Linked DNA regions of Saccharomyces cerevisiae S288C. The protein of the gene in region 1 binds, or shares a complex with, the protein of each later gene. Each region holds a gene or a part of one and is shown on either strand. Other genes may lie near its edges. A codon is read from its position in the direction of its gene.

Region 1 (5,396 bases):
ACGGTGGGGCAAGACCTAAATCATAGTTAGATTGTAAGTCTTGAAAGGTGAAACCTGGGATTTTAGACTGCTCATTGACGTCTATTTTACGCCGAGCATAGATACGGTCCAAAATAGAATTTGAAGGAGATGATTTGTTTTCCTCCCAAGTGCCTCCACTGACGTTTAAAATGTTCCTGATCATCAGATGACCTTCCTCGGTCAAGATGGATTCCGGATGAAATTGCACACCTTCTACAGTGTACTTCTTGTGTCTTACACCCATGATAATTCCATTTTCGGTACTCGCAGTAACCTTCAAGCAGGATGGTAGGGACGATTCTGTCCCGGCCAATGAATGGTATCTTGTCACAGCAATACCTTGCGGCACGTTCTTGAAAATTCCACAGTTGTCGTGAGAGATTGGGGACGTTTTACCGTGGACAATCTCACCAGCGTAGGCAACTTCACCACCAAATACGTCAAACATGCATTGCTGGCCCATACAGATTCCAAATACAGGAATTTTCCCAGTAAAGTACCGGATACAGTCTCTTGAAATGCCAGAATCTGTCTTTGGGTGGCCTGGTCCAGGCGAGATAAGCAATGTGTCGGGATTCAAGGCGGCAATTTCTGGAACTGTAATTGCATCGTTACGGTAGACGCTCACTTTGGCGCCCTCCTGGCACAAGTACTCGTAAACGTTCCAGGTAAAGGAATCGTAGTTGTCAATTAGAACCACATGCTTATTGATTGGGTTTGTTGCAGCGTGCACAGACATTTTTTTCTTACTTTTATGGCGTTCTATGTAGAACCAAACAGATTTGGTAATGTGTTAATACTGACCAGCTCCTTGTCGAACTTTTTGCGTACCTTAATATCTGCTATAGATTAGAATGAGTCAACGAGCCATTGATGATCATTCAATGATTACTACAAGAGGCATTTTCCGTCGTCAGTGATATGAATAGCACGGTGAGGTCCAGAAGAGATAGTAGGAAGTTTAATACTGGCTCAAAGGCATACTTATATCGACAAGCTAAGCGCAAATACTACTTTGTGGTACATCATCAGCATTGCTTTCGAGAAAACAGCATTTAAAATCAGCCATTTGCTGCGCTTTCTTTAAGCCCTAACAGAAAATAGTTCAAAAAGGCCTATAAGAAGCAAAAAAAGTGAAAAATACGAAAAAATACTCCAGCGGAGGAGTATAAAAGGGAGGAAAATACAAAATGTAGTTGTGTTGTTACGCATCTCAAAGAAGAAAGAAGAAGAAGAAGAAGAGGACGTCGCACTTGCAAGCAAAAACAGCGACTGGCGCGAGAACAACAAACACTAATGCATGTCTCTGTCCAGCAGGAAAAGCGAGCCTTAGTGTTTCTTATTTTCTCGTTCGCCTCACTAGTTTGTAGTAGGGTGGGAGAAACGATGGAGTGGATTGTATGATGAGGAACCAGATAGGGACAACAGATTCTCAAGTGACGAGGAACATCTTTTAAAGCCCAGTTTTTAGTAGAGCTTAGGGCGCCTTTACTGACTATCCACTCCTTGTTAAGCTATGATCTTGTATTCATGTGATTGTAAATAATATTAGAGCTCTTTCTTGAATTGCCATTACGCTTCCATGCGGCATATTCTCGTGTAGTGTGACAAAAGGTGCGGGTGGCAAATAAAGGTAAAAGAAAATGATCAAAAAGGGCCTTTAAGTAGGATGAGCAACCGCCAATCGCTGGATATAAGCAAACAAAAAGTAAGATTAGTAGCAAAGCAAAGAACATATAACTATAGCTATGAGCAGCAATAATAGTGGTCTCTCTGCCGCCGGAGAAATCGATGAAAGTCTTTATTCTCGTCAACTTTATGTGTTGGGTAAGGAAGCAATGTTGAAAATGCAAACCTCCAACGTATTAATTCTCGGCTTGAAGGGGCTAGGTGTTGAGATAGCGAAGAACGTTGTGTTGGCAGGTGTCAAATCTATGACCGTTTTTGACCCTGAGCCGGTTCAATTGGCAGACTTATCAACCCAATTCTTTTTGACCGAAAAGGATATTGGTCAAAAGAGAGGAGATGTGACCAGAGCCAAATTGGCAGAGTTGAACGCATATGTCCCGGTTAATGTGCTGGATTCCTTAGACGATGTTACCCAATTGAGTCAATTCCAGGTCGTTGTCGCTACGGACACTGTTTCTTTGGAAGATAAGGTGAAAATCAACGAATTTTGCCATTCCTCCGGTATTAGATTCATTTCCTCGGAGACAAGAGGGCTGTTTGGTAACACCTTCGTAGACCTAGGTGACGAGTTCACAGTGTTGGACCCAACGGGTGAAGAACCTCGCACTGGTATGGTTTCAGACATCGAGCCCGATGGAACAGTGACCATGCTAGATGATAACAGACACGGGTTGGAAGACGGAAATTTTGTCAGGTTCTCCGAAGTAGAAGGTCTTGATAAGTTGAATGATGGGACCCTTTTTAAAGTTGAGGTTTTGGGGCCCTTTGCATTCAGAATTGGTTCAGTCAAAGAATATGGCGAGTATAAGAAGGGCGGTATCTTCACCGAAGTCAAAGTACCCCGTAAAATCTCATTCAAGTCTTTGAAACAACAACTGTCCAATCCTGAGTTTGTTTTTTCGGATTTTGCTAAATTTGACAGAGCTGCTCAATTGCATTTGGGATTTCAGGCTTTACATCAGTTTGCCGTTAGACATAATGGTGAACTGCCAAGAACAATGAATGACGAAGACGCCAATGAATTAATCAAGTTGGTCACCGATTTGTCCGTTCAGCAACCGGAGGTTCTGGGTGAAGGTGTAGATGTTAATGAAGATTTAATCAAAGAGCTTTCCTATCAGGCAAGAGGTGACATACCGGGTGTCGTAGCATTTTTCGGTGGCCTTGTGGCACAAGAAGTGTTAAAAGCATGTTCTGGTAAATTTACTCCGCTAAAGCAATTTATGTACTTTGATTCCTTGGAATCATTGCCAGATCCTAAAAACTTCCCAAGAAATGAGAAGACTACTCAGCCAGTAAACTCTCGTTACGATAATCAAATCGCGGTTTTCGGTTTGGATTTTCAGAAAAAGATTGCCAATTCAAAGGTCTTTCTTGTCGGATCTGGTGCCATTGGTTGTGAGATGTTGAAAAATTGGGCACTTTTGGGGCTTGGTTCTGGCTCCGACGGTTACATCGTTGTTACGGATAACGATTCGATCGAAAAGTCCAACTTAAACCGTCAGTTCTTGTTTAGACCAAAGGATGTCGGAAAGAACAAATCTGAAGTAGCGGCAGAGGCCGTTTGTGCTATGAACCCCGATTTGAAGGGCAAGATAAATGCTAAAATTGATAAAGTGGGGCCAGAAACTGAGGAAATATTTAATGACTCCTTTTGGGAAAGCCTGGATTTTGTCACCAACGCTCTAGACAATGTCGACGCAAGAACATACGTAGATCGCCGTTGTGTGTTTTATAGAAAACCACTGTTAGAATCTGGTACCCTAGGTACTAAAGGTAATACTCAAGTCATCATTCCAAGATTGACTGAATCATACTCTTCTTCTAGAGACCCACCAGAAAAGTCTATCCCATTGTGTACCCTACGTTCTTTCCCAAACAAGATTGATCACACCATTGCCTGGGCCAAATCTCTTTTCCAAGGTTACTTCACTGATTCCGCCGAAAACGTTAATATGTACTTGACACAACCGAATTTCGTTGAGCAAACACTAAAGCAAAGCGGGGATGTCAAGGGAGTTCTAGAATCCATCTCAGATTCTCTATCTAGTAAACCACACAATTTTGAAGATTGTATCAAATGGGCAAGGTTAGAATTTGAAAAAAAATTCAACCATGATATCAAGCAGTTACTGTTCAACTTCCCCAAGGATGCCAAGACTTCCAACGGTGAACCATTTTGGTCCGGTGCTAAGCGTGCTCCAACACCATTAGAGTTTGATATTTACAATAACGATCACTTCCATTTTGTCGTAGCAGGTGCTAGTTTACGCGCTTATAATTATGGTATTAAAAGTGATGACTCTAATTCTAAACCCAACGTGGACGAGTATAAGTCCGTCATCGATCATATGATAATTCCAGAATTTACTCCAAATGCCAATTTGAAAATTCAAGTTAATGACGATGATCCGGATCCAAATGCCAACGCGGCTAATGGCTCAGATGAAATTGATCAGCTGGTATCATCCCTACCAGATCCTTCTACTTTGGCTGGCTTTAAACTGGAGCCTGTAGATTTCGAGAAAGACGATGACACTAATCATCATATTGAATTTATAACGGCTTGTTCTAACTGTAGAGCTCAAAACTACTTCATCGAAACTGCTGATCGCCAAAAGACCAAATTCATAGCTGGCCGTATTATTCCTGCCATCGCAACAACCACTTCTTTGGTTACTGGTTTGGTCAATTTGGAATTATATAAACTGATTGACAACAAGACAGATATTGAGCAATATAAGAATGGCTTTGTTAATTTAGCTTTGCCATTTTTCGGTTTTTCGGAACCAATTGCTTCACCAAAGGGAGAATATAACAACAAGAAATATGATAAAATTTGGGATAGATTTGATATCAAGGGAGATATTAAATTAAGTGATTTAATTGAACATTTTGAAAAAGATGAAGGGTTAGAAATAACAATGCTTTCTTATGGCGTTTCTCTTCTTTATGCCTCATTTTTCCCTCCAAAGAAATTGAAAGAAAGACTAAATCTACCAATAACTCAATTGGTTAAATTAGTGACTAAGAAAGATATTCCGGCACATGTATCTACAATGATTCTCGAAATTTGCGCAGATGACAAGGAAGGAGAGGATGTTGAAGTTCCTTTCATTACCATTCATCTATGAGTAACTAATTAACCAAAATAAAAAAATAAATTAAATATATACATTAAATATGTATATATATATGTATGACTTTTGACAACTTTTTCTTTGGTAAAAACTTATTATTATTATTATTATTATTATTATTAATGTAGTCTCGAATATTTGAGTATGTTTTAGTTTTTTGTTTTATATTTTCTTTGGGTTTAACTGCTTTGGTTGGAAACAATTTGGAATAATTCCCCGCGATTATTATATAAAGTGTCGAAGTTACCTCGCTCAACCACTTTACCATCTTTAAGAACTGCAATCGAGTTACAAGACCTCATCATTTGTTCACTATGCGTTATAACCATTGTTAGTAGAGCAGGTGGACCTTTTTTGACGATCTCATTGATGATAGAGGAGCTGACAGAATCCAAGGCTGAAGTACACTCATCTAAAATCAGAATTTTTGATTTTCTCAGAAGTGCTCTGGCTATGCAAAGCCTTTGCGCTTGTCCACCTGACAGTAAAGTTGTATCAATACGTGTATCCAAGCCCTGAGGTGATGAAATTACAAAGTCATGGATT
Region 2 (3,510 bases), on another chromosome or scaffold:
AGAAAATAAAAATAAAAAAGGTAATGAGGAATTAGATGCAAAGAGATATAGATATAAACACACACACACAAATATATATTTATATACATATGTATGGTGATATATATTCAAAAAAAAAAAGTACAGTAACTTAGAAACTATTAGTGGGACGGATTTGGTTTTCTTATTTCTTTCTTTTTAAAAAACTTTCTTAATATACACGTTTGTGGTTATAAGGTGGTGTAAAGTAATGTAATGATATACACTTTTTTTCTCAATTCTTTACCTTCTTCTTTCGTACGGTGTACTGCGAGAAGTAAAATGGGATGATGAATTAATTTTTCTAAATTTTTCTTCGACACTTAGTTATTTTCTTCTTCCCCTGTCAATCTCAGATTATCATAGGGAAAAATGTAAAGTGCTTTATCGACAACGTATCGCGTATGTATAAATTGATTCATGTTTTGCGTTTGAGCTGAATATGTTTTGTTAAATTTTGTCTTCTTTCTTACTGTTCTTTTTTATATTTTCTTTGAAACTCTTTCTACATCCTCCACATCTTCACTTTCATCTTCAGCCTTGTGGGGTTGTTTCCTATCCATGACGCTGTCGTTATCTATACTATCGTCGTCATCATCGTCATCATCTTCGAATTCGATTCTTTCGTCATCGTCGTCGTTGTCGTTATAGTTGTAAACGTCATCATCTTCAAAGGGGATATGGTTGTTTCCATCGTCGTAGTCGTCGTCTTGTAAAATGACGGACCCGTTCTCATCGTCGTCCAAATCACTATCATACCAAAAATTATCCGCCATATCCTTATTCGATTCTGGTTCATCTAGTTTACTTTGAGATATGTACGCCGATTCAGAAGTGGGCATTATGAAACCTTTAGGGATATCTTGTTTCGATCTTTCCACTTCCATTTTGACTCTTTGCTTGTATTGTTCAGGGTTCTTTCTGTAATCAACAGCGGCATCGACATTTGCTGGCGAGTTGATATTGGGGTCCTCTAATAGAGATACTATAGAGATCAACACACTTTCCACGGTCTGCACGGGGGACCACGTTTCAGCATCAGGTTCGTCGGTCATAGGATCCCCACTTTGATGTAAAATAGAAATACAAAGCCTGCCATCCCTGTAAACGTTTGGATGGTAGATAGCCGGCGTAAATCGAAACTGTGGTGGAGAAAAGGGAAAGTCTTCCGGAAATCTCATTTGAGCTTTGAAAAACCCTCCATGATAAATGGAATCCTCATTTAGCACCATAACACCTATGTTCCAAGTGAAAATATTTGAATCATCCTCTAGTTCTATATGAAATGAGGGAATAGCTTTCTTAGGATCAGTAAGTTCTCTATATTGCCGTAACAGTAAGCTAGAAGCGGTGCTTTTGCGACTACTCATATTTACGTTGTATTGTTCTTTTTTCCTTGTTTGGTGTACTAAAAAATAACAGTCGCTATAAGTCCTAAACAGTAAAGGACAAAGATGTCAGCGGCAGAGAGTATAAAGGAGTACTATTCGACTGAAATAACAAACGCAAAGCTCCTATTATTTTGTAATAGTATGCTCTTTATTGTCCTTCTTAACTTTAAGTTTCTGCTCTTGTTCTTTACAGATTCAAGAGGAAACCAAAAAAAAATCAAAGAAAAAGAATCGAATTTTTCCCAAAATGAAAGTGTAAGGAAAAAAAAAGAGGAGATAGAAAATCCGAAGAACCCCAAGGGACGGACAAACACAAGACGATGCTGCACGTGGTTAGTTTTGTAAGCGCAGGTTACGATAAAGAGCATAAACAAATCATTACTAAGAGCGGTATACAAGAATAAAGTGACAAACAGTTCTCCCTATTTAACGCACTTAACGTAGGTTCCATCATTATGATGCTATTGCCACATCAAATCTCCTTTGGACTGAACCCGCATTAGTAATTGCCCGCTTTTCTTTTCTTCCGCGGGTGGGCCCCATAAATAGAAAAAAAAAGAAAGAAAGCGTTTAAATAAATAGAGTGAGCGGATTTCTATTATCTGAAAACCGGGTTATAATGCACGTGATATGCACGTGGGAGCTGGGCGGCTATTTTTTTCTTTTTCAAATGTATTTGAGTCGTTTAAAATAGCACTCCCCGTTGACCCGCCAACTCATTTTTGTTTTCTCTTTACGGAAAAGGCTTTAAATTAAGGCCCGCATTTTCGGTATCCTTGAGGGAAAAAAACCAAAGAAACCCAAAAAAGACCACAAAGCTGGGATATCTTAATTAGTAGAGAGGGCTTTTAGTTTTAATAGTGTTACGAGTCTCTAAAAATAGCGTAGGCACACTGCCCTGATTCGGACTTTGATCAGAGTTTATTACTACAAAGAGTAATGTTGAATGATTGGGCTGGGTTTTCATAGCATTAACTCTAAGTAATATCATTCAACCGCTCAAGGTTCCTTACGAGCAAACCCATATATGCTCTACAGATAAACATATAAATAGCGTGCATATTCTTCTCTATTCAACTCTTGCTCTGTATAGTTCAATAGAATCTTACAGTACATCACGCTGCAATAGATCTAATCCAAGAGAGAAGCAAAAAAAAAAAGCTCGCTATAAAAATATCATGCAATTACATTCACTTATCGCTTCAACTGCGCTCTTAATAACGTCAGCTTTGGCTGCTACTTCCTCTTCTTCCAGCATACCCTCTTCCTGTACCATAAGCTCACATGCCACGGCCACAGCTCAGAGTGACTTAGATAAATATAGCCGCTGTGATACGTTAGTCGGGAACTTAACTATTGGTGGTGGTTTGAAGACTGGTGCTTTGGCTAATGTTAAAGAAATCAACGGGTCTCTAACTATATTTAACGCTACAAATCTAACCTCATTCGCTGCTGATTCCTTGGAGTCCATCACAGATTCTTTGAACCTACAGAGTTTGACAATCTTGACTTCTGCTTCATTTGGGTCTTTACAGAGCGTTGATAGTATAAAACTGATTACTCTACCCGCCATCTCCAGTTTTACTTCAAATATCAAATCTGCTAACAACATTTATATTTCCGACACTTCGTTACAATCTGTCGATGGATTCTCAGCCTTGAAAAAAGTTAACGTGTTCAACGTCAATAACAATAAGAAATTAACCTCGATCAAATCTCCAGTTGAAACAGTCAGCGATTCTTTACAATTTTCGTTCAACGGTAACCAGACTAAAATCACCTTCGATGACTTGGTTTGGGCAAACAATATCAGTTTGACCGATGTCCACTCTGTTTCCTTCGCTAACTTGCAAAAGATTAACTCTTCATTGGGTTTCATCAACAACTCCATCTCAAGTTTGAATTTCACTAAGCTAAACACCATTGGCCAAACCTTCAGTATCGTTTCCAATGACTACTTGAAGAACTTGTCGTTCTCTAATTTGTCAACCATAGGTGGTGCTCTTGTCGTTGCTAACAACACTGGTTTACAAAAAATTGGTGGTCTCGACAACCTAACAACCATTGGCGGTACTTTGGAAGTTGTTGGTAACTTCACCTC
Region 3 (2,909 bases), on another chromosome or scaffold:
ACATGGGCTTCTAAATTAGTTGGCAAATTGATAATTTGAATAGCATCAAATGGACATTTCTTAACGCAAATACCACAACCAATACACAAGATTTCGGAAATGAATGCGATTTTTGAAGTTGGAGTGACTTCAATACATAATTTACCAGTTTTCACAACGGGACACGAACGTTTACACTCTTGACGACACTTTTTTGGTTTACATTTATCAGCGCTAACGATAGCGATACGACTGTTTTTATCACTCATTATGGTCTGTCGTGTTTTCTTAAGAACTTTTGCAGAAGGCTAGGTGGAATTCGCGCTGAAACAGATCACAATGAAGATCTAAGAATACAGAAACAATAAAGGTTAATGCCCAGTTTTACATTTTTTTTTTTTCACTTTCACTTTGCTAGCGAGCGATGCGATTGAGAAAAAAAATAGAAAATTTTTTCAGTTGCAAAACTACCCGGCTAGAAATCTGGTTCGATGCACACGAGTAACAAGAGATTGTTTTTCTATCCATGGTATTTGCTTATGAACAGGTGACTGAAGCAGCGTATAGTCATGTTCAGTCTTTACTATGTGAAGGGTAGGATGCTAATGACCGGCTCTTTCTTATCCTCCGCGGTGTTTTAAACGATGCTCCTTTCAAGTACGCTATTCCGTACTATTTTTTACTGTGATAATTTGATCATCAACAACGACGAAAATGACACGTCGGCGGCTAATTTGATATTTCTTTATTTGTGTATTTCCGTTGCAGATACGAGGGCGTTTTACATGACATCAAACTATTAGGAAAATCCTTTTCCAATTCAGTTTGTAGTAAACCATGATAGGCCACAAGACATTTTTTTTCAACTGGGGAGAAATTTAACAAGGACGTCTTTTTTTATTTAGACGATAAAAAACCAAGAAACAAAACTAGTAAAGGTTCTTGGAAGCATTTATCTGGATGCAAAATAATCGTTATTCTTGGGCATGCTGACAATGCTGAAAAAGTTATCCAAACAAAGTAGTCAAATATTCAAGATCACTATTAGATCGCTAAACATTAATTTCTCATTTTGCGACGATACTTTTTTTACAGAATATAAATTCATGTTAATTTTGAGATATTTAAGCGTTTCATCTCTTTTTTTCTGGGCTAAAAAAGCTTTTCGATGTCTAGAAATACTACCAACAAATACTTGAATGCAGAACAAGAAGGAAAAAAGCTTGATACTAGTCAAGCTTAATGATTAGATTCTGCGGGAGCCGCGGGAACAGAAAATACTAACGTTTTAAATATCATTTAAAAAATTACCAAAGTACAATAAGCAGTTTTTTCTTTGCCTTCTCTACATGTGAACAAATATAATGGGCATCTAACAGGAATTTGTTTTCCTTTAAACCATCAAAGAGAATAGTTCAGTTAATTATGCCGCATCCGTATTGTTACCCGAAATTATGGTGTTTTTAAAACAAAGGATAAGTGATTCATTGAAAGATGGCGCGCCACCACGAACCAAAACACCTCTATAGAGAATAGTACTTTACACTCTTCTGTTCTTTTTTTTTCCAATATTAGCAAATAAGGTCAGGTTCATTGTAACATAGTTAGAAATGGCATCATTACCCAAGAGAATAATCAAGGTATGTTCAAACAAGAGCAGTGGATTATATACGAAATCTGAAGTGACGTTTTCGTCTGAGCCGTCACACTCTACACTGTTTCCTCTTGATAATGGCTAGAACTTACATACTAACGCAAAACTTCCAAAACAAGAAGGCTTTTTTTGTCCAGTTTGTAGCAGCGTTCCGCCTTCCCTTTGTCCATATCCGCAAACGCTCATATGGAGGGAATTCAACAGAACAAACTACTAGGGCAGAAAACGCAAAGTCTTTGTGAACTTTCATATAGGAAACTGAGAAATTAGTAAGTGACCCAGTACCTGGCATTACAGCAGAACCACATGACGACAACTTACGTTACTTCCAAGTAACAATCGAAGGCCCAGAACAGTCACCATATGAAGACGGTATTTTCGAATTAGAATTATATCTGCCTGACGACTATCCAATGGAAGCACCGAAAGTACGTTTTTTAACCAAGATATATCATCCCAATATTGATAGGTTGGGCCGTATATGTCTTGATGTGCTTAAAACTAATTGGTCACCCGCTTTACAGATCAGAACCGTCCTGCTGTCCATTCAAGCACTGTTGGCTAGCCCTAATCCTAATGATCCGCTAGCTAATGACGTCGCTGAAGATTGGATAAAGAATGAGCAAGGTGCCAAAGCTAAGGCTCGCGAATGGACGAAATTGTATGCAAAGAAGAAACCCGAGTGATCATTTCTGTATAAGTTTTCTCAACTGAATATATAAATATATATCATTACTATGCTGCTGCTGCTGCAAAAAAAAAAAAATTTACGATAAATGCAAAAACCATAGATGGTCATCTAAAGAGGCGCATTTCTCAAAAATGTAGCGTCGCTAAAATGGTTTTCTCTACCTTTAGTTTTACGCCAGATTTTTACTAGACGCGTTTTAGTTTACTTTTTCCTACCCTGTTCGTTTTTTTTTTTTTTTTCGCACCAAATTTTTCAACCGTTCCATGGAAGCCGGGATCGACCGTCCTACACTAATGTAAGCATTAGTCCGCTCGAGGGTCCACGTTTAATTCCGGATCATAAAGTTTTTAATGTATTTCTTGTTATTATCGCTTTTGTTGATCTTACCTGCTATTGCATAGAGACAGACAATAGACAAACCAGATTCATCGCTTACTCGGTGGTTTACCTCTTAGTATTACTTTCGCTGCTTCTTTCTGCTGTGACAGAGTCTCAGGTGAAACAAATTAATCAAAAGAGTTGATTAAACGCAAGAGCGTTGAGAGAGTTTAAAAAACCATCCGTTTCTTTTTCTATTTGCTTTCA

What was found.
Region 2: the proteins of UBA1 (region 1) and CDC34 are in contact, whole or in part, in a crystal structure (PDB 6ZHU), measured with the Saccharomyces cerevisiae proteins. Residues at the interface, in NP_012712.1 of Saccharomyces cerevisiae: Arg182 (codon at 2,313), Asp200 (codon at 2,367), Arg202 (codon at 2,373), Phe236 (codon at 2,475), Glu584 (codon at 3,519), Ser588 (codon at 3,531), Arg590 (codon at 3,537), Asp591 (codon at 3,540), Pro592 (codon at 3,543), Pro593 (codon at 3,546), Lys595 (codon at 3,552), Ser596 (codon at 3,555), Ile597 (codon at 3,558), Pro598 (codon at 3,561), Leu599 (codon at 3,564), Cys600 (codon at 3,567), Arg603 (codon at 3,576), Ser604 (codon at 3,579), Phe605 (codon at 3,582), Asp650 (codon at 3,717), Leu691 (codon at 3,840), Asn694 (codon at 3,849), Phe695 (codon at 3,852), Pro696 (codon at 3,855), Ala699 (codon at 3,864), Thr701 (codon at 3,870), Ser702 (codon at 3,873), Phe707 (codon at 3,888), Lys712 (codon at 3,903), Pro915 (codon at 4,512); in NP_010339.1 of Saccharomyces cerevisiae: Lys5 (codon at 1,376), Ser6 (codon at 1,373), Thr7 (codon at 1,370), Ser9 (codon at 1,364), Leu13 (codon at 1,352), Arg14 (codon at 1,349), Tyr16 (codon at 1,343), Arg17 (codon at 1,340), Leu33 (codon at 1,292), Asp36 (codon at 1,283), Ser37 (codon at 1,280), Asn38 (codon at 1,277), Ile39 (codon at 1,274), Phe40 (codon at 1,271), Asp69 (codon at 1,184), Phe72 (codon at 1,175), Ser73 (codon at 1,172), Tyr89 (codon at 1,124), Arg90 (codon at 1,121), Asp91 (codon at 1,118), Arg93 (codon at 1,112), Leu94 (codon at 1,109), Cys95 (codon at 1,106), His100 (codon at 1,091), Gln101 (codon at 1,088), Ser102 (codon at 1,085), Gly103 (codon at 1,082), Asp104 (codon at 1,079), Pro105 (codon at 1,076), Met106 (codon at 1,073).
Region 3: the proteins of UBA1 (region 1) and UBC13 are in contact, whole or in part, in a crystal structure (PDB 6ZHS), measured with the Saccharomyces cerevisiae proteins. Residues at the interface, in NP_012712.1 of Saccharomyces cerevisiae: Asp547 (codon at 3,408), Ser587 (codon at 3,528), Ser588 (codon at 3,531), Arg590 (codon at 3,537), Asp591 (codon at 3,540), Pro592 (codon at 3,543), Pro593 (codon at 3,546), Lys595 (codon at 3,552), Ser596 (codon at 3,555), Ile597 (codon at 3,558), Pro598 (codon at 3,561), Leu599 (codon at 3,564), Cys600 (codon at 3,567), Arg603 (codon at 3,576), Ser604 (codon at 3,579), Phe605 (codon at 3,582), Gly649 (codon at 3,714), Asp650 (codon at 3,717), Leu691 (codon at 3,840), Phe693 (codon at 3,846), Asn694 (codon at 3,849), Phe695 (codon at 3,852), Lys700 (codon at 3,867), Thr701 (codon at 3,870), Ser702 (codon at 3,873), Phe707 (codon at 3,888), Lys712 (codon at 3,903), Thr955 (codon at 4,632), Met956 (codon at 4,635), Ser958 (codon at 4,641); in NP_010377.3 of Saccharomyces cerevisiae: Met1 (codon at 1,590), Ser3 (codon at 1,596), Pro5 (codon at 1,602), Lys6 (codon at 1,605), Ile9 (codon at 1,614), Lys10 (codon at 1,617), Thr12 (codon at 1,891), Glu13 (codon at 1,894), Lys14 (codon at 1,897), Val16 (codon at 1,903), Asp29 (codon at 1,942), Asp30 (codon at 1,945), Asn31 (codon at 1,948), Leu32 (codon at 1,951), Arg33 (codon at 1,954), Asp60 (codon at 2,035), Asp61 (codon at 2,038), Met64 (codon at 2,047), Leu83 (codon at 2,104), Arg85 (codon at 2,110), Ile86 (codon at 2,113), Cys87 (codon at 2,116), Lys92 (codon at 2,131), Thr93 (codon at 2,134), Trp95 (codon at 2,140), Pro97 (codon at 2,146), Pro117 (codon at 2,206), Asn118 (codon at 2,209), Asp119 (codon at 2,212), Pro120 (codon at 2,215).

Annotation. Positions count from the first base shown.
Region 1 is NC_001143.9:37,394-42,789, forward strand, and holds UBA1 (E1 ubiquitin-activating protein UBA1), read left to right. Parts: upstream 1-1,769; coding exon 1,770-4,844; downstream 4,845-5,396. Other genes in the region: TRP3 (bifunctional anthranilate synthase/indole-3-glycerol-phosphate synthase), read right to left, coding at 1-760; ATP-binding cassette a-factor transporter STE6, read right to left, coding at 5,030-5,396.
Region 2 is NC_001136.10:560,940-564,449, forward strand, and holds CDC34 (SCF E2 ubiquitin-protein ligase catalytic subunit CDC34), read right to left. Parts: upstream 1,389-3,510; coding exon 501-1,388; downstream 1-500. Other genes in the region: PST1 (Pst1p), read left to right, coding at 2,588-3,510. UniProt on the Saccharomyces cerevisiae protein: Catalyzes the covalent attachment of ubiquitin to other proteins. Capable, in vitro, to ubiquitinate histone H2A. Mediates the initiation of DNA replication (transition of G1 to S phase in cell cycle).
Region 3 is NC_001136.10:628,287-631,195, forward strand, and holds UBC13 (E2 ubiquitin-conjugating protein UBC13), read left to right. Parts: upstream 1-1,589; coding exon 1,590-1,619; intron 1,620-1,887; coding exon 1,888-2,319; downstream 2,320-2,909. Other genes in the region: RLI1 (Fe-S cluster-binding ribosome biosynthesis protein), read right to left, coding at 1-248. UniProt on the Saccharomyces cerevisiae protein: Has a role in the DNA error-free postreplication repair (PRR) pathway. The UBC13/MMS2 heterodimer catalyzes the synthesis of non-canonical poly-ubiquitin chains that are linked through 'Lys-63'.